Pelodiscus sinensis: one gene and its partners. The protein of the gene in region 2 purifies or fractionates together with the protein of the main gene of each other region. This does not show direct contact. Links are inferred from orthologs where the notes say so. Each region holds a gene or a part of one and is shown on either strand. Other genes may lie near its edges. The genes, in order: ITSN2, EPS15L1 and AP2S1.

What was found.
Region 1: the proteins of EPS15L1 (region 2) and ITSN2 purify together in Homo sapiens (affinity purification with mass spectrometry; 5 studies listed by BioGRID and IntAct, with this or other methods). This does not show direct contact. The link is inferred for Pelodiscus sinensis from reciprocal best matches to the Homo sapiens genes EPS15L1 and ITSN2.
Region 3: the proteins of EPS15L1 (region 2) and AP2S1 purify together in Homo sapiens (affinity purification with mass spectrometry; 4 studies listed by BioGRID and IntAct, counting the BioPlex papers as one, with this or other methods). This does not show direct contact. The link is inferred for Pelodiscus sinensis from reciprocal best matches to the Homo sapiens genes EPS15L1 and AP2S1.

What each region holds. Positions count from the first base shown.
Region 1 is NC_134713.1:14,268,445-14,276,012, reverse strand, and holds the start of ITSN2 (intersectin-2), read right to left. Parts: upstream 3,022-7,568; 5' UTR 2,723-3,021; exon of another isoform or gene 2,663-2,722; intron 241-2,662; exon of another isoform or gene 220-240; intron 1-219.
Region 2 is NC_134729.1:31,113,676-31,121,118, forward strand, and holds the start of EPS15L1 (epidermal growth factor receptor substrate 15-like 1), read left to right. Parts: upstream 1-4,358; 5' UTR 4,359-4,410; coding exon 4,411-4,440; intron 4,441-7,443.
Region 3 is NW_027465849.1:5,625,525-5,632,798, reverse strand, and holds the start of AP2S1 (AP-2 complex subunit sigma), read right to left. Parts: upstream 3,035-7,274; 5' UTR 2,921-3,034; coding exon 2,918-2,920; intron 1-2,917. UniProt on the Homo sapiens protein: Component of the adaptor protein complex 2 (AP-2). Adaptor protein complexes function in protein transport via transport vesicles in different membrane traffic pathways.

The DNA of each region.
Region 1 (7,568 bases), on a different chromosome or scaffold from region 2:
AAGTATTATTAAAAGTAAAATCTACTTTCAAATTTTGCTACCTGTGAGTGGTGTGACACTATCTGCAAATCATATATTTTAAATTTATTATTCACATTATATTAATGCTTAAAAAGCACAACCAGATTCCCTAGATGGTAGCAACATTTAATTTCCTGAGAAAAAATGACAATGTCATAAACAGACAGAAAAAAGGACATCATTTACTAAGGCACTAACCATGGAATTTAGTTTTCATCAGTTCTTAATTTCTTCTAATTATAGGTTTTCACAGGAGCCTAAGAAGTAAGCCAATAATTATAATAATCTTCATTATTCCATTCTCTGAGGTTCCCAGTACAATTCATCTATTCATCCATTACCAATGTTTTATCTTCTTACAGACTGTAAACTCTCAAGGCACAGATATTCTGTATTTTGATTCTTACTTAATTCTGAACCTATTAATCAGTGCTACCATCTTTATTTCTCAACAGATTATAACACATATACACAGATTATAAAATTTGCCATCCACACTTTACTACTGAAACAATGAAACCAACTCTTAGGAGAAGAAAATTAGTTCCCATAGAAACACATCAAAGTGTTCTAGCATCAGTAATTTACTCCTCCATCTTCCAAATCAGAGAGAACATGTGTGGGGGAAATTTGTAAACAATCCTCACTCATTTCTGATAGTGACAGAGATGTAGCCGTGTTAGTCTGGTGTAGCTGAAACAAAATACAGGACTATGTAGCACTTTAAAGACTAACAAGATGGTTTATTAGATGATGAGCTTTCGTGGGCCAGACCCACTTCCTCAGGAAGTGGGTCTGGCCCACGAAAGCTCATCATCTAATAAACCATCTTGTTAGTCTTTAAAGTGCTACATAGTCCTGTATTTTGTCTCACTCATTTCTGGCAGCCTTTAAAATGTAAGTGTAAAACCTATAGAAACTGAACACAGCACTTATCAGCTGTATTGAAAAGGAGCCTTGGGGTAAAATGCAAGATCTTCACAAGAGCTTTGATTGTTAAAAAAAATTACTTTTCATAAAAGAGATAAGTACTTCATTATTTTTAGAGAGGAAGAACTTCTAATGCAAAAGAAATGTCTGTTCAACCTAATAAAAACCACAAACCTGAAACATTTCCCCATCCACTGCCCATTCTGTTGTTAAGGTTCTATTTTCAGTTACTGTGGTTTGAAACTTTTTTGCAGTACCCAGCTGCTCACTGTGATGTGAGCTAAATAAAATGAACAAAATCAAAGATTGTCTCTCTCCTGCTATACTATGCAAGAGGTGCTTACACTGGAGAAGACTAAATCCCAACCCCATTCCCCAGAGAAAACTTCAAAGAAGAGGGGGAAAAATCTCTCAGGTAAGGTTTCCAAGTTGACAAATGAAACAGACTAGAGGTGGAACTGATGGGCTGCATCATGGTCTCATACGGTCACATTCTGCCCTTTAAATCACTCACAAGCAGCCACAAACATTACCTCACTAAACACTTCAAATCCCAGTCATGTGTTCCCCAGGCCATTCCCCTCAGGTTACTGCTCACAAAAGCCCCCAAACTGCTCCCTAGAGTTCCTCCCCAGGACTCTCTCAATCAAGGGCACACCCTTACCTGCTCCTTCCCTGAGAGCTCCCCCACCCCGCCATCAGAGGCACCCCCTATGTTTTCCCCTTAGACTCCCTCTCCCTCCCCAAGGACATATCTCATCTTTTCCCTGCTCCCTTCCTGCACTCCCCCCCAATCAAGGGCACCCCCTAGCAGCGCTCCCCCCAACCAACGCCCCCTCCGCCTGCTCCCTTCCTGGGTTCCTCCCAAGCAAGGGCGCCCCACCTGCTCCCTCCCTGGGTCCCCCCCCCCCAAACAAGGACATGTTACCTCTCCTACCTGTTCCCTCCCTGGGTCCCCCCCCCCAAACAAGGACATGTTACCTCTCCTACCTGCTCCCTCCCTGGGTCCCCCCCCCCCAAACAAGGACATGTTACCTCTCCTACCTGTTCCCTCCCTGGGTCCCCCCCCCCAAACAAGGACATGTTACCTCTCCTACCTGCTCCCTCCCTGGGTCCCCCCCCCCAAACAAGGACATGTTACCTCTCCTACCTGCTCCCTCCCTGGGTCCCCCCCCCAAACAAGGACATGTTACCTCTCCTACCTGTTCCCTCCCTGGGTCCCCCCCCCCAAACAAGGACATGTTACCTCTCCTACCTGTTCCCTCCCTGGGTCCCCCCCCCAAACAAGGACATGTTACCTCTCCTACCTGCTCCCTCCCTGGGTTCCCCCCCCAAACAAGGACATGTTACCTCTCCTACCTGCTCCCTCCCTGGGTCCCCCCCCAAACAAGGACATGTTACCTCTCCTACCTGCTCCCTCCCTGGGTCCCCCCCCAAACAAGGACATGTTACCTCTCCTACCTGCTCCCACACTGGGCCGCCTAACCCAACCCACAGCAACCCCTATCGGCTCCCTCTTCGTGGCCCCCGAACGAACCCCCCCAAATCCTCTCTCCCTGCAAGCCCCCCCAAATCCTCTCTCCCCAGACCCCCAACACACTCACGACCCGGTGCCCCCGGACCTTGCTTCCTCGGCCCCCCAGCAAGAGCGCCCCATTCCCACCCTCCGCACAGACCCCGCCGTCCCCCCGCGGGGGCCGAGGCCGCTCACCCAGCCGGCTCTGCTCCCTCGGCCCCTTACGGCTCAGGCCGCAGCCGGGCAGCGCGGTACCTGTTGCTCTGCTCGGCGCTCGCTCGCTCGCTCCCTCTGCCTCCTGCGGCGGCTTCAGCCCGACAACATGGCGGCGGAGGCGGGGGCCTGGCCCGCAGGAAGAAGGCGAGCTGCGGCAGGAGGGGGAGGGAGCAGGAGCTGCCCGCGGACACGGGCCAGCAGCGGGGCTCCTGGGTGTGCGACCGGGGCCCTAGGGATGAGCCCAGAGGGGGCCCAGGGACTAAGTGAGAGCAGCCCCTCTGGGCTCGGGGCCAGCCCTGATTCAGGCCGACAGCAGCTGGGTGTGGGACCAAGGCATAGAAGGGCCTAACAGCACCCCAGGGTGTATGTCCCAGGCTCAAGATATGGGCAGGTGTGGGACCAAGGCCTGAGATATGGGCTTACAGGGCCCTGGGTGCCAAGCCAAGGTACGTACCCCAGGAACTTGGTGCCAGTTGGCAGACGGCACAGGACGGGGGCGTAGAGTTTCACGAGGATCTCTCAGGTAGGAAATATGCATCATAATTAAGGCTAAGATTTTGTCACATCAGCCCTCAGGAATGGGTTGTACGGCCCAGGCTATAGCGCAGCCTCCCAAAAAAAGCTGTAGGTTGTGGTGCGTTGCAACCATAGAGGGTGCTCTACCTCTGCTCTGGAGCTGGGCACAGCTGCAGGACAAGGATGCATGGGCACAGCTGCAGCCAAGGGTGGGGTACAGCCATGGGACGCACGAGGGGGACATGCGGCCCACAATGCAGTCCCCAACAAAAGACATGGGTTGGGTCACAGCAGGGGTAGAGGGAGCACAGCCACAGGGGTTGCACAGCTCCCACTCCAGAGCTGGCAGCAGCTGCGGGAGAGGAGAGCCCAGTTTGGCTGCAGTCCCCAGCAAACTACAGGGCAGGGGCTCCAGGATCCTGGTTCCAGCCATCCATCTAATTGCAACAGGGTAGGGGCATACAGTCCCCACCTCTAGGCCTGACTTCATTTGCTGACAGCTGGAGCAGAAGTCAGGGAGGTCCAGTAAAGTCACAGAATCTTTGAATACTGTGACTAAATTGTAGCCTTAATAATTCACCAAATGGTGACATGGGAGATCCCTACCAACAGTCACTGTTGCATGTAAAGGTAATATTTCAGGAATTATATATCTAAACTGAAAAATATGTTCTTAAAGGAGTTAAGTAAGACATGTCACTAGGGATATACCTGGGACATATTTCTTTCAGACAGCCAAGTAGCAGAGGGCTGTCGTCTCTGGTCACGTGTGTATTGTGCACTGTATATCTTGCAAAGGATGTCTGTTTGCACAGCAAGCCAGATACCTGATGTAAGATTGCAAAATCTACAAGAGAGAATATCTATAAGGAAATAAATCCACAGGGGTGTGCCCTGTTCATGACTAAAACCAAAACATCAGGATGGTATATTAGGTAATACGGGGAGATACATAATATCTTCCACCAAAGAGGCAAGCCAATAGCATGACTTGTCTCCTAAAGGAAAAATCACAGTCAAGCCTGGCTTTATAATGCTAGGAGGAATTCGGATGAATATTGTTGTAAAACAGCTTAAAGCGTCTAGATAAATAAGTTTATGTTCTGGAATGTGTATTATGATTTTATTTTATATGAAGCCATCTACTTCCAATATGTCTCCTTTCTCTCATTAAAATCTCTATGCTTTGTTAAATAAACTTTTTTTTTAAACTATCAACTTATATAATCACAGTGTGCTACATGAAACTGTGATCTAAGGTATATCTGATACACTGATAAACTGTACCGCTCCTGTGGGAGTAGTGAATACTGTGAGTATCCAGTTGAGTAGGGTCTGAATACTCCGTAAAGATGGGGAGGAGGGCGGGGCGGAGAGGAGGAAAGGGAGTTAGAGTGTATCTGTTGTTAACTTGTAAAGAGACAATGGGATGTACCTAGACCAGTGAAGTTGGGGAGCGACTCCAGGAGGCATAAACATGCTAAGGGGAGGCAGTAACTGGGTACTCCCCATAAAGTATCATAGGTTATACAGGCTCACGGTGCCTCTGGGTGGGGTGCCACAGCATAGTGACTAACAAGGCCCTAAGGTGCAGAGCCAAGGCATAAAGGCAAAAAATGCCCCTGAATATAGAACCAATGCCTGAGACTCAGGTTATGTTTACACTGCAGGATTTTTGTGGAAGAGGAAATGCAAATTGAGCACTTATTTGCCTATATCACGCTCTCATTTGCATATCTTCCAGTCCTTTTTGGGGAAAAGGTTTTTGTGATAAAAAGCCCTGTGTAGACGGGGCCATTTGTTGGAAAAAAAAACAACCTTTAGTTCAAGAGTCTGTATACCTCATTTTTTGAGGAATAAGGGCTCAGGAGCACAGTAAGCAGCTGGAAGATGACTAGGGAGGATGCAGCACTTGTTCCGTAGGATACATCTTAGATAGAGGAAGTAGTGGTAGGCAGGCTTAGGGGAGCAGGAGAAAAGCTCCAGACTGATATCTGCCAGGCTGCAGGCCTTGATACAGGGGCCAGGAAGGTGCAAGGGTCATAGGGGAAGTAGCCCAGGGAACAGAAGGCAGTAGAGTGGGAGAGAGGAGAGCAGGACAAGACTGCTGCCAGAGGGTCCCTGATCTGGGACCTAGAGTAGTGGGTGGGCCTGGGGTCCTTACACTGCACCTAGTCACACCGAGAAGTGACCTTTATGGACTGTGGCTTGCCCCTGAGCTGAGGGACTAAAGTGAGACTGTAGTTGGCCATGATGGCAGATGTGAGACTAAGGACTGCTGATAATACCTAGGGGAAAAAGGGGTTGAGAAACCAGTGTGGTGGGCAGTGTCCTATGGTCCTGGGAGTGAAGTGGGTCCAAAGCAGAGCGCAGGGAGAGCATGGAGAGAGACACTGGCCAGAATGGAGTGCCCTGCTGAGGACAGAACTAATTCCCAGTGTGATCTGCAGGAGGTGCCATGGTAGTGAGTCTTGACCTGTTGTTACAGTTATGTTTATAGTAACTAGAGAATTTTGCCTATCCATCCCCCCATGAATCTAACATAGTAGCCTTCTAGGGTTGCCAGTTTGGGTTGGATGTATTCCTGGAGATCTCTCACACATCATAAATCTTAATATGTAAATAAAGATTAATTCCTGAAGACTACAGCCCAATCCTGGTGGGTCTTACTTATTCCTGTACTGCACTACTTTAGGTACACCCCTCACAACATTTTAGACTAATGGCTCTCAACCTTCCCAGACTTTCAGGAGTCTGTTTTGTTTTGCATACTTCAAGTTTCACCTCCCTTACTTGCTTACAAAATTAGGCATAAAAATGCAAAAGTGTTAGTACACTGTTAATGACTTTCCATATAATTAATAAAATAAATTAATAAAATAAACCAACTGGAATATAAATATTATGTGTACATTTCAGTACATAGTATATAGAGAGCTGTATAAACACGTCATTATAGGTATGAAATTTTAGTTTCTACTGACTTTGCTAGTGCTTTTTGTAGCCTGTTGTAAAACTAGGCAAATATCCAGCTGTTAAAGAGATATCTAGAGATATTTGCCTAGTTTTACAACAGTCAGTAGTACATGTACCCTTGGAGGCATGCAGAGCTGATGTACTACTGATTGAGAATGACTGTTCGCAGCTACATGCTGACAATTAAGTATAAATCTGATGTATAAAGGTGTGCAAAATAGTTTGAACAAAACCATAATATATTTTAGGGCTACATTTTTATTTCAATTGCACTGAAAGTTGGTGGCTACATATTTCATGACTGAACTTTAAAGAAGTGTGATTACTGTTACTGAGAAGATCTTATGAAATTCCTCATCAGAATTGTTGTCTTCATAATACTCTCTGAAATAACTCATTATTGAATCAATCCAGGGTGAAATAAGAACCACCTTTGGGGAGAGGAGATGGCCCAGTCCCATAAGAACGGCCGTACTGGGTCAGACCAAAGGTCCTTCTAGCCCAGTATCCTGTCTGCTGACAGTGGCCAGCACCAGGTGCCCCAGAGAGGGTGGACCAAAGACAATGATCAAGCAATTTGTCTCCTGCCATCTCTCTCCAGCCTCTGACAAACAGATGCCAAGGAAACCATTTTATCCCCTGGCTAATAGCCTTTTATGGACCTAACCTCCATGAAATTATCTAGCTTCTCTTTAAACTCTACTATAGTCCTAGCCTTCACAGCCTCCTCTGGCAAGGAGTTCTACAGGTTAACTACACGCTGTGTGAAGAACTTCCTTTTTATTAGTTTTAAACCTGCTACCCATTAATTTCATTTGATGTCCTCTAGTTCTTCTATTTAGGGAACTAATAAATAACTTTTCTTTATCGGCCCTCTCCACACCTCTCATGATTTTATAGACCTCTATCATATCCCCCCTCAGTCTCCTCTTTTCTAAACTGAAAAGTCTCAGTCGTTTTAACCTCTCCTCATATGTGACCCATTTGAAACCCCTAATCATTTTAGTGGCCCTTTTCTGAACCCTTTCCAAGGCCAAAATATTTTTGGCTATCTGAACAGCAGTTACCAGAATTCCATGTGTTTCACACAATATATTTTTTCTATGTTCCCTGACAGCCATTGTTTGACAATGGAGCTGTCTTACAAAAGCTAGTGGTATGATGGGATGAAAGGAGAGGAATCCCAGGAATTTATTAGTTCCCCCCTGGATTCAGAGCCTGAGTAGGAACCTTATAGCATAGGGCAGTGGTCCCCAACGCGGTGCCTGCGGGCGCCATGGCACCAGCCGGGGCATTAATGTGCGCCCACCTAGTGACCATGGCTGGCCCGAGCCATTCTTGTGCCCTTACTGTCTGGTGTATATGCGGCCCCCACCCCGAGCGCACGCTGCAT
Region 2 (7,443 bases):
TGTGTAATGAGCTGGCCCCTGAACTATGGCACAAAGACACCCAAATGAAAGCTGCTCTCTCCATAGAGAAGCATGTTGCCATTGCTATGTGGAAGCTGGTGACTCACAATTGCTACTGTTCAGTTACAAAGCAGTTTGGAGTGGGGAATTCTACCATTCGGGCAGTGCTTATGCAAGTGTGCAGAGAAATAAATTGCATAGGACTGTGACTCTGGGAAATGTGGATGACATAGTAGCTGGCTTCGCTAATATGGGCTTTCCAAATATGGTGGGACAATCGATGGCACACACATTCCCATTGTAGTGCTACCCCACCATGCTCTAGAGTATGCCAATTATAAGGAGTAGTTCTTCATGGTGTTTCAGATGCCTGTGGATCACCATGGGCTTTTCACAGACATAATGTGGGGTGGTCTGGAAAGGTGCATGATGCGCATCTTCAGGAACTGGGGAAATATGGGGGTGCAGGATTCAGAGCAGTGGGCTGAGTGTGTGTAGAGGTGAGTGAAAGTGGCCAAGGGTGCCATTTCAGGGGGCGGGGGAGCTGCAGCCTCACATACTGGGTTGTGTTGCTTTTCCTGCTTCCTCTGATTAGGGAGTGAAGGAAAGTGCAGAGTCTGCTGCATTCCCTTCACTCCCAGCTGCACAGGAGAGAGGCAGAAGAGGAACACAGCAGGCTCTGCACTTCCCCATACTCTCTAGTCAGAGGAAGCAGGAAAAGCAAAAGGGACCTGGTATGTTCCCTGAAATTGCAGCGAGGTAGGAACCTCAGGGCTGGGGCAGTCCTGGAGGTGGGGGGAAGAGCACCCCCAGTCAACCCTCTAACCTGCCTGGTTTCCTGCTGCTGAGTCCCTCCCACTGCAGACAAGTGTCTCAGCTGGCCAGCCAGCTTCTTATCAGAGCGCTGCACTCAGGCACTTTCTTTCACCTCTGGACACCCTGCTCCTTATGTAGCCAAACTCTGTGCTGCCTTGATTCCAGCAGCACAGTATGAGGAGTGGTTGGGAGAATGTCGTACCAAGGTGGAGGAGAAATGCCATGGAATCTCCATGAGAAAGTTGATAAGTACATCAGGCAAATCTATGGCACCCTCTCCCAACAAGATTCCACTGATATTGGTCTTTGTGCACAGTGATGCTCTGTTTGGACATAACACAGACCCAGGGGCACTTAGCCAGCTCACAGAAAGACAGCTTCCAGAGGGCCGAGGCTCACCATCCGCAGAGGCTGCTTGGGCTGCAGCCCCTGTCCATGGGGAGCTCAGCAGGGAGCTGGGTCCATGACATACAGGGGCAGCTGTTGCCAAGCAGCCCCTGTTCACAGCGGCCTGGGTTCAAGCTGGCTCCTGGAGCCTCGCTGAAGCTCTGCAGTGGCGCTTATCGACTAATTGTGCAGTCAATACAATTTGTATTGAATATACGATTAGCTTGATAACCACAATTTAACATCCTTACCTTGAACCTCAGACCTCCCTGTTTCTTTCCCTCACCCTGTGAGGCTGGAGCGCCAGAGGAGTGATGTATCTCAGCTGGGGATCAGATCAGTGAGGACTGGGGGATTTTGGAGTAGCTTTTTCGTTTCTCATCTGTGTGGTCCCCAACTGATTTTTCTGTGGGTCAGTGGCCCCCAACCCAAAAAAGGTTCCCTGCCCCTCCCATAAATAAAGAAAACATTGAAACTTTTTGGGTGGGACATAAATATTTTACTTTATCTAAAAGGAAGTTTGATAAACGAACATGAGAAAGTTAAAATGCTTAATCAGTTTAATTATTTAAATTAAACCATTCTCCCTAGCTGCAGCACTAGCAAAATGGCTCTGGCATAATTATGTAATTAACTATGAATTTCCATTAGTGGTCTGCAGAAAGGTTTACACTGAGGCAGATGGTTCACAGGCCAAAAAGTTTGAGAACAACTGAAATAGAGGCACCTCCCAACCTTTGCCCCCAGTTTACTGCAATTGCATTAATCCAACTTGCATTGCATTTAGTAGCCTGGGTCCTATGGGTAGGGTTGCCAGGTGTCCGGTATTGTACCAGACAGTCCAGTATTTGCGCGCTCTGCCCAGTAAAAAAAAATCAGAAAATACTGGACATGTGCAATGTCCGGCATTTTCTGATTTTTCTGGCTGCACGCCAGACAGCTCTCCCTTCCACTCCCCCTTTCTCCCGGCCAGCACCGCAGCCCACGACTCCCCTCCCCCCCACCAGCTCTGCTTCCTGCTGGCCCATTCCTCTTCCTGATCTCCCTGGCCAGCACCGCTGCTCCCGCCTTGCCAGCTCTGCTTCCTGCCCCCCCTTACTCCCGGCCAGCACCACCCCATCCCGGCCGGTGCTCCCTCCCCCCGATATCCCACAGCCAGCCCCTTTCTGCCTGACAACACCCCGACAACCAGTCCTGCTTCCCATTGGCCCTCCCCATCTCCCCCGGCCAGCTCTGTTGCGCCCTCCCCCCCCCCCCCCCCGCTAGCTGTTTCCAGGCCCCCTCCTTCCCGGCCAGCACCGCACCCTTCCTGGCCGGTCTTTCTCCCCCCTGCCCCATTAAGTGTTACTGTGGGTTGTTGTTTTTTTTTTTAATGACTACCTGGTAACCCCTAGCAGTGATCCAGGTTTGTGCAGTCTTTTTTTTTTTTTTTTTTTTTTTTGACTCAACAACTTTGATGGTCCCCCCCCCCCTTTTTTTCCTTCAACAAAATTCCCCCCCCCTTTAGGGGGGGGTCAGTATTTTTGTTTCAGCCATCTGGCAACCCTACCTATGGGGTCCAAAACCATCCCTATTGGTAGAGGACAATGGGAGGAATTCTTAGAGGAGTCACATGACACCCTTTACTTCTGGTCATGTGTCCATTTTGACCCTGGAAGTACTACCTACAGGAGTGGGACTTCATGTGGCAGGTAGGTGGGGCATAAGGAATCAGGGGGCATGGCTAATGAGGCCAGGGTGTGTGGCTAACAAGTCCCCATTTTTGGTTCAGAAAATATGGTCATCATACATATCATGCACATACAACATCAGAGGCTCATACAACTGCACATCCTCTAATGCAGTGGTCACCAACCAGTGGATCGGGTTCTACTGGTAGATCTTGGAGCCTCTGACAGGCGATCCTGACTGGTTTGGCTAAGAGGCTATTGAGTACCAGCACTTCAGCTGCATCTCCCTCCTGCTGCTGCGCAACTCCTGCTCTTTGCCTTGGAGCTGCCTCTCCCCAGCCCTGGGAGCCTCCTGCTGTTCAGGGCAGGGGAGGAAGAAGAGGAGCACTGATGTCAAGCACTCTCCCACCCTGTATCCTATATCCACAGAGCAGGGCAGGGGGCATAACAGGACTTGGGATGGAGTTTGCTGGCTGCTTTTGGGAGTGGTAAGCCAGGGCACTGAGCCTGCTTAGGACATGGGCTCTGACTGGGCCCTGATTACCTCAGGTGGCTCCTGAGTGGTGGTAGAATCATAGAACTGGAAGAGACCTCAGAAGGTCGTCAAGTCCTCTCCCTGCTCTAGGCAGGACCAATTCCAACTAAATCAACCCGGCCAGGGCTTTGTCAAGCCGAGACTTAAACACATCTAGGGATGGAGACTCCACTACTTCCCTAGGGAACCCATCCCAGTGTTTCCCCACCCTCCTAGTGAAATAGTTTTTCCTAATATCCAACCTGGACCTCTCCCACCACAACTTGAGACCATTGCTCCTCGTTCTGCATCTGTCACCACTGAGAACAGCCTCTCTCCATCCTCTTTGGAACCCCCCTTCAGGAAGTTGAAGGCTGCTCTCAAATCCCCCCTCACTCTTCGCTTCTGCAGACTAAACAGACCCAACTCCCTCAGCCTCTCCTCACAGGTCATGTGCTCCAGCCCCCTAATCATTTTGGCTGCCTCCGCTGGACCCTCTCCAGTGCGTCCACGTCCCTTCTGTAGTGGGGGGTCCCGTAGGGCTGAGCCAGGCTCATAGTTTTTTAAAGCTGTTCCTTTTTAAAAGGTTCAAGATGTGGGGGGGGGGGGGGGGCTGCCAAGAATCCCTCCTGCACCAGAACTCTGGAATTACAGCTCCCTCCTCAGGTCACCTCCACTGAACAGTGACTAACCCCCCTCCACGTGCCCAGTGGGATGAAACGTGGACGTGGCCGACTCACCCCGCGCCCAACCGCCTCGCGGAGCCTGCGTGTCAGTGTCGCGCTGGACACGCGTGGGACTCGGCGGTAGGTGAGCGCGCCCGGAGCCGGGAAATCGGGCGCCTGCCTGTCGCCTCAAGGGCGGGGCGCGGGGAGCGAGCCGCGCTCTGCGGCCTCGGCATCCGGACCGGGCTGCGCCGAGCCCTGAGCGTGCCCCGCCGCGTCTGGCGCCTCCTCGCGCCCGTCGGCGGCGATCGCTCCGCCCCCGGTGCCCGCCCTGCCGGAGTCACTCGGTGGGAGCAAGATGGCGGCGCTCATTCCCCACAGCCAGCAGGTAACCGGCCCGGCCCGGCGGCCTCCCAGTGCAGCCGGCAGCTGGAGCGCGCCAGGGGACGGGGCTCCGGGCCCATCCCCTTGTGGCGGGGGGGAGCTGGGCCCCATCCGGCGCGGGCGGGTCAGCTCGGAGGGGGCAGGCCCTCAGCGCCCTCCCCGCCGCAGCCGGGCCAGGGTTGAGGCTGTGGGGTGGGAGCCGGCCTGCGCCGCCCGCGGGGGTTGGGGGCTGAGCCCCGCGGGGGCGGCTCGGACGCTGGCTTCCTGGCTGGCACGAAGCGCTGTAATGTCCCTCGAGGCAGGCAGGCTGCAGGGCCCGACGTTGAGCCACTGGCGCGCAGGGCGCTGTGGTCGCGGGAGGCCCTGGGCCGGGCCTCGGGAGACCCGGACTGAGTGCTCAGGGGGGCTCTAGGCTCCTTGTCTAACCGTCACTTCAGCTGGTTCATTTCTCCAGGCCGGGGTCTCCCCATCTCATGCTGCCTAATGGGCAGGGACCAGTCCACCACCTAACGAGCACAACGGCTTCATGCTGCGGGAGGGGCTGGGGCCTCTTGGCAGAAGGGGTAGATGCAAATACACTACAGACACGTAGTGGGAAGGGCCTCTAGAAGTCATCAAGTCCAGCCCCTGTGCTGTGGCAGGGCCATGTAGTACTCCAGCCCATTCTGAGGTGCCATCCTCCCCTTCCCCCACCTCTGCTAGAGGCAGTGTGGAGAGATAAGGGAGGCTGCAGCAAAACAGCCACTGTCCCCAGTTGTCTCAGCTGGGAGCCAAGCAGTCCCTGTTCTCGGTGGCTCCAGGCTGGCTGGTCACAGGAGCAGCCCCTGCCCATGGCCACGGTGAACAGAAGCTACTCCAGCAGTGGCTCCTGTTCCTGGCAGACAGGGCTGTCCGCCGCGAACAGGGGCTGCTGGACTCTGCGAACTGGGACTGAGCATACCTGCTCATGCTGGTTCAGGACGCTGCACCTTTGCATTTTAAATGTAGTAAGCATCCGGCGGCTCTTATAGCATTTAAAATGCAGAGCTGTTGTGTGAGTGGGTCTCAGAACTGGCACAAGCTTCTGGAGCTATCTGCTGCGGCTTTGCAGAGCGGTCCATATCAATTTGTGTTGACTGCACGATTAGACAGCTAGCCACAATTTAACAACCTTAGCAGGGAGTGAAGTTTATTTTCAATCTTAGAAAGTGCCTGGATGTGGTTTTGGTGGAAGAGTGGGGGTTGTAAGTACAGTAGATCCTCAAGAATTATGAACTGACCAGTCATCCAAAAACCTTATCTGAATCTAGAAGTCCACAATCAGGCATCAGAAGAAACAAACAAAATAAAAGCCCCAGACATAGGAGGGCTAGCAGTATTGCCAGGCCCTGGGGGGGGGGGGGTGTGTGTGGTGTGTGGTGTGTGTGTATTTGTTTGTTTGGGGGGGCAATGGCTTCATTCTCCTGGAGGGGTTAAGGCCTTTTGGTAGAAGGGGTAGATGCAAATACACTACAGAAAAGTAGAGTGGGAAGGACCTCTAGAAGTCATCAAGTCCAGCCCCCTGTGCTGTAGCAGGGCTATGTAGTACTCCAGCTCATTCTAGCCCAGGGGTGGGCAATCCCTTATGAGTGTTTGTCCAATCTTTTTTTTTTTTTTAAACTTCCAATGATAGGATTCCACAAACTCCCACGGAAGGCTATATTAGAACTTATGGAATAATAACTGGAAGGAAACTTGAGAAGTCAAGTCCAGTCCCCTGCAGGACCAACCACTGTCTAGACCACCTGTCTGACATTTGTCTAACCTGTTCTTAGAAATCACCAATGATGAAGATTCCACAACCTTCCTAGGCAGTTTATTCCAGTGTGTAACTGTCCTTGCTACAATTTAAACCCATTGCTTCTTGTCCTCCTTTCAGAGGATTAAGATAATATATTTTTTTTCTCCCTCTTCCTTGTAACAATCTTTTAGGTACTTGAAAGCTTTTAGCACATCCTTTCTCAGTCCTCCTCTCTTTTACAGACTAAACAAACCCAGTTCTTTCAGTCTTCCCTCATAGGTCATGTTTTCTAGACTTTTAATCATTTTTATTGCTCTTCTCCGGACCTTCTCCAGTTTGTCCACGTTTTTCTTGAAATGTGGTACTCGGAACTGGTCACGATACTTGAGTTGAGGCCTTATCAGCAAGGAGTAGAGCAGAATTACGTCTCATCTCTTGCTTACAACACTCCTGCACATCCTAGACTTATGTTTACCTTTTTTTTTTTTTTTTTTTTTTTTTTTTTGCAACAGTGTCACACTGTTCACTCATATTTAGCTTGTGGTCCACCATGATCCCCAGATCTCTTTCCACAGTACTGCTTCCTAGGCAGTCATTTACTGTTTATGTAAATGTAGGCAACTGATTGTTCCTTCCTAAGTGGAATACTTTGTATTTGTCCTTATTGAATTTCATCCTCTTTACCTCAGACTGTTTTTCTAGTTTGTCTAGCTCATCTGAAGAAGTGGGTTTTGCCCACTAAAGCTCATGATACTATATATTAGTTTCTAAAGTGCTACAGGACTACTAGTTTTTTTCTAGACTAACCATGCCAAGTTTTATTTTTAATCTTTCCTCATAGGGTCTGGTTGGCTCAGCCTTTTGTAACTGTTGTTGCTTTCTCCTCTGGACTTGTTACTTTGTCCACCTCTCTTCTAAGGTGTGGTTCCTAGAACTGGATGTAGTACTCCAGCTCATTCTAGCCCAAGGTGGGCAATACAAAAAAACGCAGCCAACAGGGTTAGTCCTTGCAGGCCACTGCCACTATGTTTACCTGTGCCTCAGCAGGTATTGGAGGACGCAGCTCTGGTTGGCCGTGAATCGCCATTCGCAGCCAATGTGAGTGGCAGGAAGCGCCACAGACTGGGACACCACTTCCCCGCATTCGTGTTGCCTGCAAATGGTGATTTCCGGCCAACCAAAGCTGTGAATAGAGAAACAGCAGAACTTCAATTCATTTTCAAATTTAACATGACCAAATTAGTGATA
Region 3 (7,274 bases), on a different chromosome or scaffold from region 2:
TGAAAACTGTGTTTGTGCGGCCGCACAGAAGAAAGTCAGGTGCTGTCCACCTGATTAGCAGAGTGCCCACAGCTCGGTTTTGTGTTTATATCGGTGATGCACATTTTCACATGCCCCAGTGCACATCACACAATTTATTCCACACATGGATGGAAAAAACTCACACGTGGATGGAAAAGATTTAGGGAACACTGACTCCTTCACAAGCTCAGCATCCTGGAAAACACTTTTCTTTTTAGTTAGTACCATCATTATCTGAAGTAAAGCAGTTCTTGTTTTCTTCTGTCCAGTCACTGATGTTATGAGAACGACATCTGAAGAGTGACGCAAAGACTTCAGTTGAAATTACTGTGCTTGGATTTAAAATGGTACCTCACAGTGATGACCTTAGACTGCGGTACTGGCTTGGCATACTAAAACCAAAAACTTTGCATTTCAACGAGATGGCGTAATAAAAAGAAAATCCGCTGTTAGTGTTAAAAGCTCAGTTTTCACTGTTGACTTCATGATGGTTGCTCCCATTTGCAATCATTTTTTGCTCCATTTCCATCAGTAATGAAAAAAATAGGCAGGGTCAATGTTCTCACAAGAATTTCAGATTCAGTATGTTACTTACTAAGGAAATGACAGGCAAATGATAGGCAGCATAACGCTGTTCTCAAATTTAATTATAAATATGTTTTTAAGATGAGCTGATGGGCCACATTTGATCTGCATGCGGCCTATTAAGTATCTCTGGCTTAGGATGTTTCAACCAGTCCAGGCGTCAGGAGATGAACTGAATTTGCAGAGAAATGGAGTGGAGACTCATAGACTACTAGAACTGGAAGGAACCTTAAGAGGTAATCAGGTGCACTCGCAGAAGGATTTAGATCATCCCTGACAAGTGCCTGTCCAACCTGCTCTTAAAAATCTACAAAGATGGAGATTCCACAACCTCTCTAGGCAATTTATTCCAGTGACAGTTAAGAGAGTTTTTCCTAACGTCCAGCATAAACCTCTCCTCCAGCAATTTAAGCCCATTGCTTCTTGTCCTATCATCAGAGGTTGAAGAGAATAATGTTTCTCCCTTCTCTTTGTAACAACCTTTTAAGTACTTGAAAACTGCGATCCCCTCTCAGTCTTCTCTTTTCCAAACTAAACATATTCTTTCAGTCTTCCCTCATAGGTCATGTTTTCTAAACCTTTCATCATTTTTATTGATCTTCTCAGGGCCTTCTCCAATTTGGCCACATCTTTCCTGAACTGGACACAATACTCCAGCTGAGACCTAATCAGCACAGAGTAGAGAGGAATTACTTCTCATATCTTGCTTCCAACACTCCTGTTAATACATCCTAGAATTTTTTTTTTTTTTTTGCAAGTGTCACATTGTTGACTCATATTTAGCTTGTGGTACACTATGAACCCTAGATCCCTTTCTGCAATACTCCTCCCTAGGCAGTCACTTCCCATTTTGTATGTGTGCAACTGATTGTTCCTTAAGTGGAGTATATTGCATTTGTCTTTATTGAATTAAATAGTGTTTTTCCATCTCTAACTTTTGCAGTTCAATTATACACATACAAAGTTCAGTTCTCAGTCTCCAGTGCGGAGCCTATACAGGCTGGCGGGTTTTTTGTGACCATCCGATCATGATGGCAACAGCTTTGGCTCACTCAGCCCATAATAAATTGGAACCACTCGGCTAGGCACAGAAGTGACTGCATGTTATTATGGATCCCCTGTTCCATCAGACTAGGTCAGACAGGGCCACTCAAGGGGAGTTTGTCTTAGTTCGATGGTAATATCAGCCCAAATCTGAGAGCATCTAAGATGTCCCCATTTGCCACAAAGCTACACCGCATGGCCCCCCGGAATTCATAAAGACGACTGGGACTAGGACTCCGAGCCTCCTAATCTTGCTCCTTAAAGAGGAGGAAAATTTCTGTGATCAGCTGGTCATAGGTGAGGGATACATGAATAAACAGCTACTGCATCCCTCACCAGAGATAGCCGCAACAAAATACAGGACTATGTAGCACTTTAAAGACTAACAAGCCGCAGAGCCTGAACAACACCTGTGCACAGCCCTCACAGTTATAAGAGCTTGGTCAGAATTACAGCTCTGCAAAAACAGGCCCAGTACCAGCCTTCTTCTTTTGCCTACCTCCAGTCCCTTCGCCTGCCAAATATCATACCCCCAAAGGGTCTCCCTCCTCAGGCACCGGAGCTGCTCCCTACTTCCCCGGGAGTGGGGGAGGATATACCCCAACAGCGTGCCCCCTCCCAGGATAGGGAGACTCACTCCCATTCCTCCCCTACAGGAGCCTTTCTCCACCCTCAGGGATAGAACCATCCAGCCCAGCGCCCCACACGCCTGGCAGGGACAAAGTCTTATTTAGACCTCAGAACTGGGGAGCCTGACCCAAATCATCCCCTGGAGGGCACCAACACTCCCCTTTCCCCAGGGATGATGGTCCACATCCCATCCAGGGGTTCCCCTCCCCCTGGGGCCAGGGACTCAGACCCACATCCCCTCCCCCCCAGGGTCTCCCAGTGGCGGCCCTCCCCCCAGGGCCAGGGACTCAGACCCACATCCCCTCCCCCCCAGGGTCTCCCAGTGGCACCCCTCCCCCCAGGGCCAGGGACTCAGACCCACATCCCCTCCCCCCCAGGGTCTCCCAGTGGCGCCCCTCCCCCCAGGGCCAGGGACTCAGACCCACATCCCCTCCCCCCCAGGGTCTCCCAGTGGCGCCCCTCCCCCCAGGGCCAGGGACACAGACCCACATCCCCTCCCCCCCAGGGTCTCCCAGTGGCACCCCTCCCCCTAGGGCCAGGGACACAGACCCACATCCCCTCCCCCCCAGGGTCTCCCAGTGGCACCCCTCCCCCCAGGGCCAGGGACTCAGACCCACATCCCTCCCCCCCCCCTTACCATGATAGTTCCGTCCCTGCCAGACCCCCCCAGGCCGTCTTCTTCCCCCTCCGCTTCTTCCCCCTTGCCCCCTCCCACCGGATATCCGTCGCCTGGCCTCCTGGGAGCTGTAGTTCCGGGCTGCCTAGGCGGAGCGGCCCTTCCCGGCAGGCCGCGCGGCCGCAGCGGTGCACGCTGGGCGTTGTAGTGTCTCCCGCCCAGGGCGGGGCGGGGTCGTTGCTCGCCGTCCCCGCCAGGGGGCGCCCGGGCTCCGCGGTGCCTCGGGCGGGGGGCGGGCTGGAGCCGGGCCCTCGCCTGGCGTGGCCAGCGGGCAGCCTGCGCGCGGGGCCGGCAGAGCGGCCGACCCGAGCCCGCGGCTGGGCGAGGCCTAGTAGGCCCGAGCCTGCCCCACAGCCCCGCCCCCCACAGCAGGCCCCCATGTGGGTCTGAGTCCCTGAACCTGGGGGGAGGGGCACCCCTGGATGGGATGTTGGCCCTGCCCCCCCCCCACACCTGGTCCTCCCCCCCCCCCGCAGCAGTGGGGGGGGGGCAGCTAATAGCCCGATTCGCCCCCACTGCGGGCTGGGGGGGGCTGAGCCTGGCCCCCTCCCTGGCAGCCCCGGGCCTGCTCCTTCCGCACCCTGAACCTGGGGGGAGGGAAGGGGGCGAGCCCCCCCCAACAGCCGGCTCTGGGCTGCGGCCACCCCCAAACCGGGAGCGTCCGCTCCAGTGAGCTATCAAGGCCCTGCCCCGGCTCCCTGCATGGCCCCCGGCAAGTCGCCTCGTCTCTCCTGGCCTCCATTTGTCGCCTGTACAATGGGGATAAATTCACGGGCAGGCTCGCAGAGACGGGAGGAGGGACCCGGTAAAGAGCTGAGATTAAACGTGTGGTTTCGGCTCACAGGGACTGGACCCTGGGCAGATTAAAGTGACACGCAAGCTCCTTCGAGCAAGGACTTCGTCTTTTGGAGGCTTGTGGAGTATCCGTTAGTGCTACTGTTTTATAGTGTAATCACACTGAGGATCGAACTCTGGACTTCCTGCTCCAAAATCCCAGGCCTATGCCATCTGAGCAAAAGGAGACTCTTCATGAGCGATCAGTAGTATAAGGGCCTTGTGGCACACAGTTGAGCATTCCCCATTGCACCCAGTGGATGGCAGTGTTGTTACCCTGCCCCTGGGACTAGCTTGTAATGCAGCAGCAGGGAGTGCTGGCCTGGGGAGAAAGAACAGCCAATGAGGGCAGCTGGAGCTGGGGAGTGACTTTGAAAGCCACCCAAAGGGGCCAATTGGAAAAAAAAAGCTGCTAGAGGTGGAGGGAAACTGGACTAGAAGACCTCTGGAGGTCCCTTCCACTCCTACGATTCTATAAGAACCTAGATGCTGAGTTACTAGATGAACTGGAGTCTGGGTAGGAGGCGAGGTGATAAAAGAACAGGAACATGAAAGTAGAAGACTGGGAAATGAAAAGGAGGAAAGCAGGAAACTAGGAAAGGATTCAGGTCAAGAGAAGCAGAAATCGCCCCTCCCTCCCCCAAACCTGGGTATATGAGCAGACTCTGCTAGAGAAGGTAAGTAGAGGGAAATAAAATCTATAGTTGTACTAGAGAAAGAGTATGGGGGGAGGGCAGAAAATGAAATATAATTGGTGAAAAAGGGACTTGATCAAAGAGCTGTGTTAGATGAAAACAGATCCTGAAAACAGTAAACGAGACGCCTCCTTACAAAGGATGAACAGAGAGAATGACTAGTGGGCAACTATTGAAGGAATAGTGTTCACAGTGAGGGCCCACTAAGTGAAGAAAACCTGTTTGTGGATAAACTCAGTAAAAAGGTACAGCCACAAGAATATTGACTGAAAAGGGTACTTCAGGCCAAAAATAGCCAACAGCAGGACAGCAAGAGTGGAGCTGGACTTACAGCCCAGACAGGAAAAATAGATTTTTTTTCTGAAATGACGCAGTATATTGTTACGTAATTCCTCTTGTTCTTGTTAATAGCAATGCATTTGATATTGGCGGCAAGAAGTAAGGGAAAGTTGCATGTACAAACTTGCAAAAGTTCATGTATTGGTATCTATAGTTTATTATTGTAAGTAGTAAGCACTTGGTAATAGTCTATATTATTTATGCTCTTAGTACAGTATTTGGGTATTCCCTTAACAAAAGAGTTAAACACGCCCTTTTTGTATTTATGTGCCTCTTTCTCTCCTGTTAGAAAGTAGAGCCTCAGGTCTCTGGCCCATCAGTCCCTGGGTGGGTGGCTGTCTGGTCCCTGGGAGAGTCTATTCCAGTACCCCAACATAGCCTGGTAGAGATCCCATCCTCTGCTTTGCCTTTGCCATCAGCCTCTTGGCTGCCTTGATTGCTGGCTCTTCCCTTCCTCCCCGTTTCTTTGAGAGGCCTGAGGGCTGCCATGTGCTCAGCTTCTCCTTTGGCACCGACTACAGCCCAGAAGGCACAGCTCTGGCCTTCCCGGCAGGCGAGGCAGCCATGCTGGCTGGAGCCTAGGCAGTTTGGGGAAGGCCATGCCTTCCTAGCCTGCGTTACCCGCCACCCTGGGGCACAGCCAGCGGCTCCTTTTCTAGCGGAGCATGCCCCTGTTCAGTGTCCGTGAGAACTCAGCCCGTACAGGAGACCGGCTTTGCATCAGTGAGCAGTGAGGTCTTCCCCGAGCCATCCTGCAGAGATGCCAGAACAGTCAGGGGCCACAGCTCCATCTCCCTCTCACTTTTAACCAGCCCTAAGGGTGATCGACGGGGCCCAGAAGAGCTAGTGAGAGGCAGGGTTTTGGGGGGCAAGGGTGGAGCCACAGGGGAAGAGACAATGCAAGGGCAAGGACTTGGGTCATGAGTGGCATGGGGGCTCGGAGGAAAGAGGCAACACAGGAGGGAGGTCTTGGGGGGGGGAAGAGGCAGCTCAGGGGTGGGACCTCTGGGGAAAAGGGAGTGCGGGGACAGGGCCAGTGCCCCCCATGCTTTTAGGGAGCTTCCACGGCTACTGTACCCCCCATCGCACGTTAGGGCTGGGGCCTTGCTTAGGGTTGTTTTTACTCTTTCAAACACCTGCTCTTGGGTCTGGGATCATCCCCGCACTTCAGCGTTGTGTGTTAACTGTCCCCTGGGCTCCCGAACTTCTGACAGGCGCCACAGAAAAACCCGTCCTTGCAACTCGCTGGCCTGCTTTCTTATTCTGCGTTCTGGTCATGCCCTTAATGCCCCCTCAGTGTCTCAGCATCTGGCCAGCATCCTTCAGAGATCAACCGACGGCCGATGGAGAGAGAGCACTGCGTTCGCTTCGGCTTCACACCAGCGTTCCCACTAAGCTGAGCACTCAGGAGAGATTTAGACGCTGCCCCGCTGATTAGCAGAGCACCCATAGCTGGCAGCATGTGTTTCTACTGGTGGTGCACATCCGCACATGTCTCAGTGCCCATAACAAAATTTATGGATGGAAAAAATTAGAGGGAACGTGGGTTCAGAGTAGTACCCTGCTCCGGGCACCCATTTGGGGGCTTACACAGCTTGCCCTGGAAATCCTGGATTGCCTCTTCCTTGGCATCTTCTCCTACAGTAAGAACGACAAATCTTGATTGCTCGTTGTCCCTGTCGCGCTTGGTTCCCTTTACACGGAAACCCCTTCTGGGTCGGGCTGATGCCCCCAGGTGTCTGTACCTGCCAAAAGGTGGCCAATGCGGCTGCTCTAGCTCAACACACCAGCTGTCACAAAGACTGAGCACTTTGCCTGGCTAGATTGAGCAGTGTGCTCCGTCACGCACAGGCAGCGTCTTCTTCTCCATGCACAGCCTCAGTTTACCTCACTGCTGCCAGGAGAAGCAATGCCTCCTCTTTGCAGGCTGCCTGCTTCAGCAGAGCCTGGGCTAATGGATTCAGTGCTTCCGTAGTCACGTGGACTGCACTACGTTCCGCTTGCCCCTCTCTTTGAGGCATGTCCCGTGAGAATGCCCGACAGAGCCCACAGTCATGTGATCAGAGCACATCCTGCCCTCCAATGCCAGCTCCTATAACTCCCATCTGAGCACAGGGACTGGGATGTGGGTCTCCCATCCCCCACAGGCAGCCTCGGGCACTGGGTTAGAGGCAGCCTCTCTCCGGCCCTTAGTTAAGTATTTATACAAAGTGGGACAACTTCTGGGAAGGGGGAGGGATTTGAACCTGGATTTCCCACAGCCCCAGTGAGTGCTCTGCCCACTGAGATAAAGACTGTGTTTTCCTCTTAGGGCACAGCTACTTGGGTGATGCTGTTCAGGGGGGAATGCCTGGTTTGTGAATCCAGCACAGGCTGAGAGGTGAGTTTGGTGCTGCCTTGCTGGCACTGCAGGGATGTAGGTGGTTGTGCCCTTACGTGGCTCAGTGCCT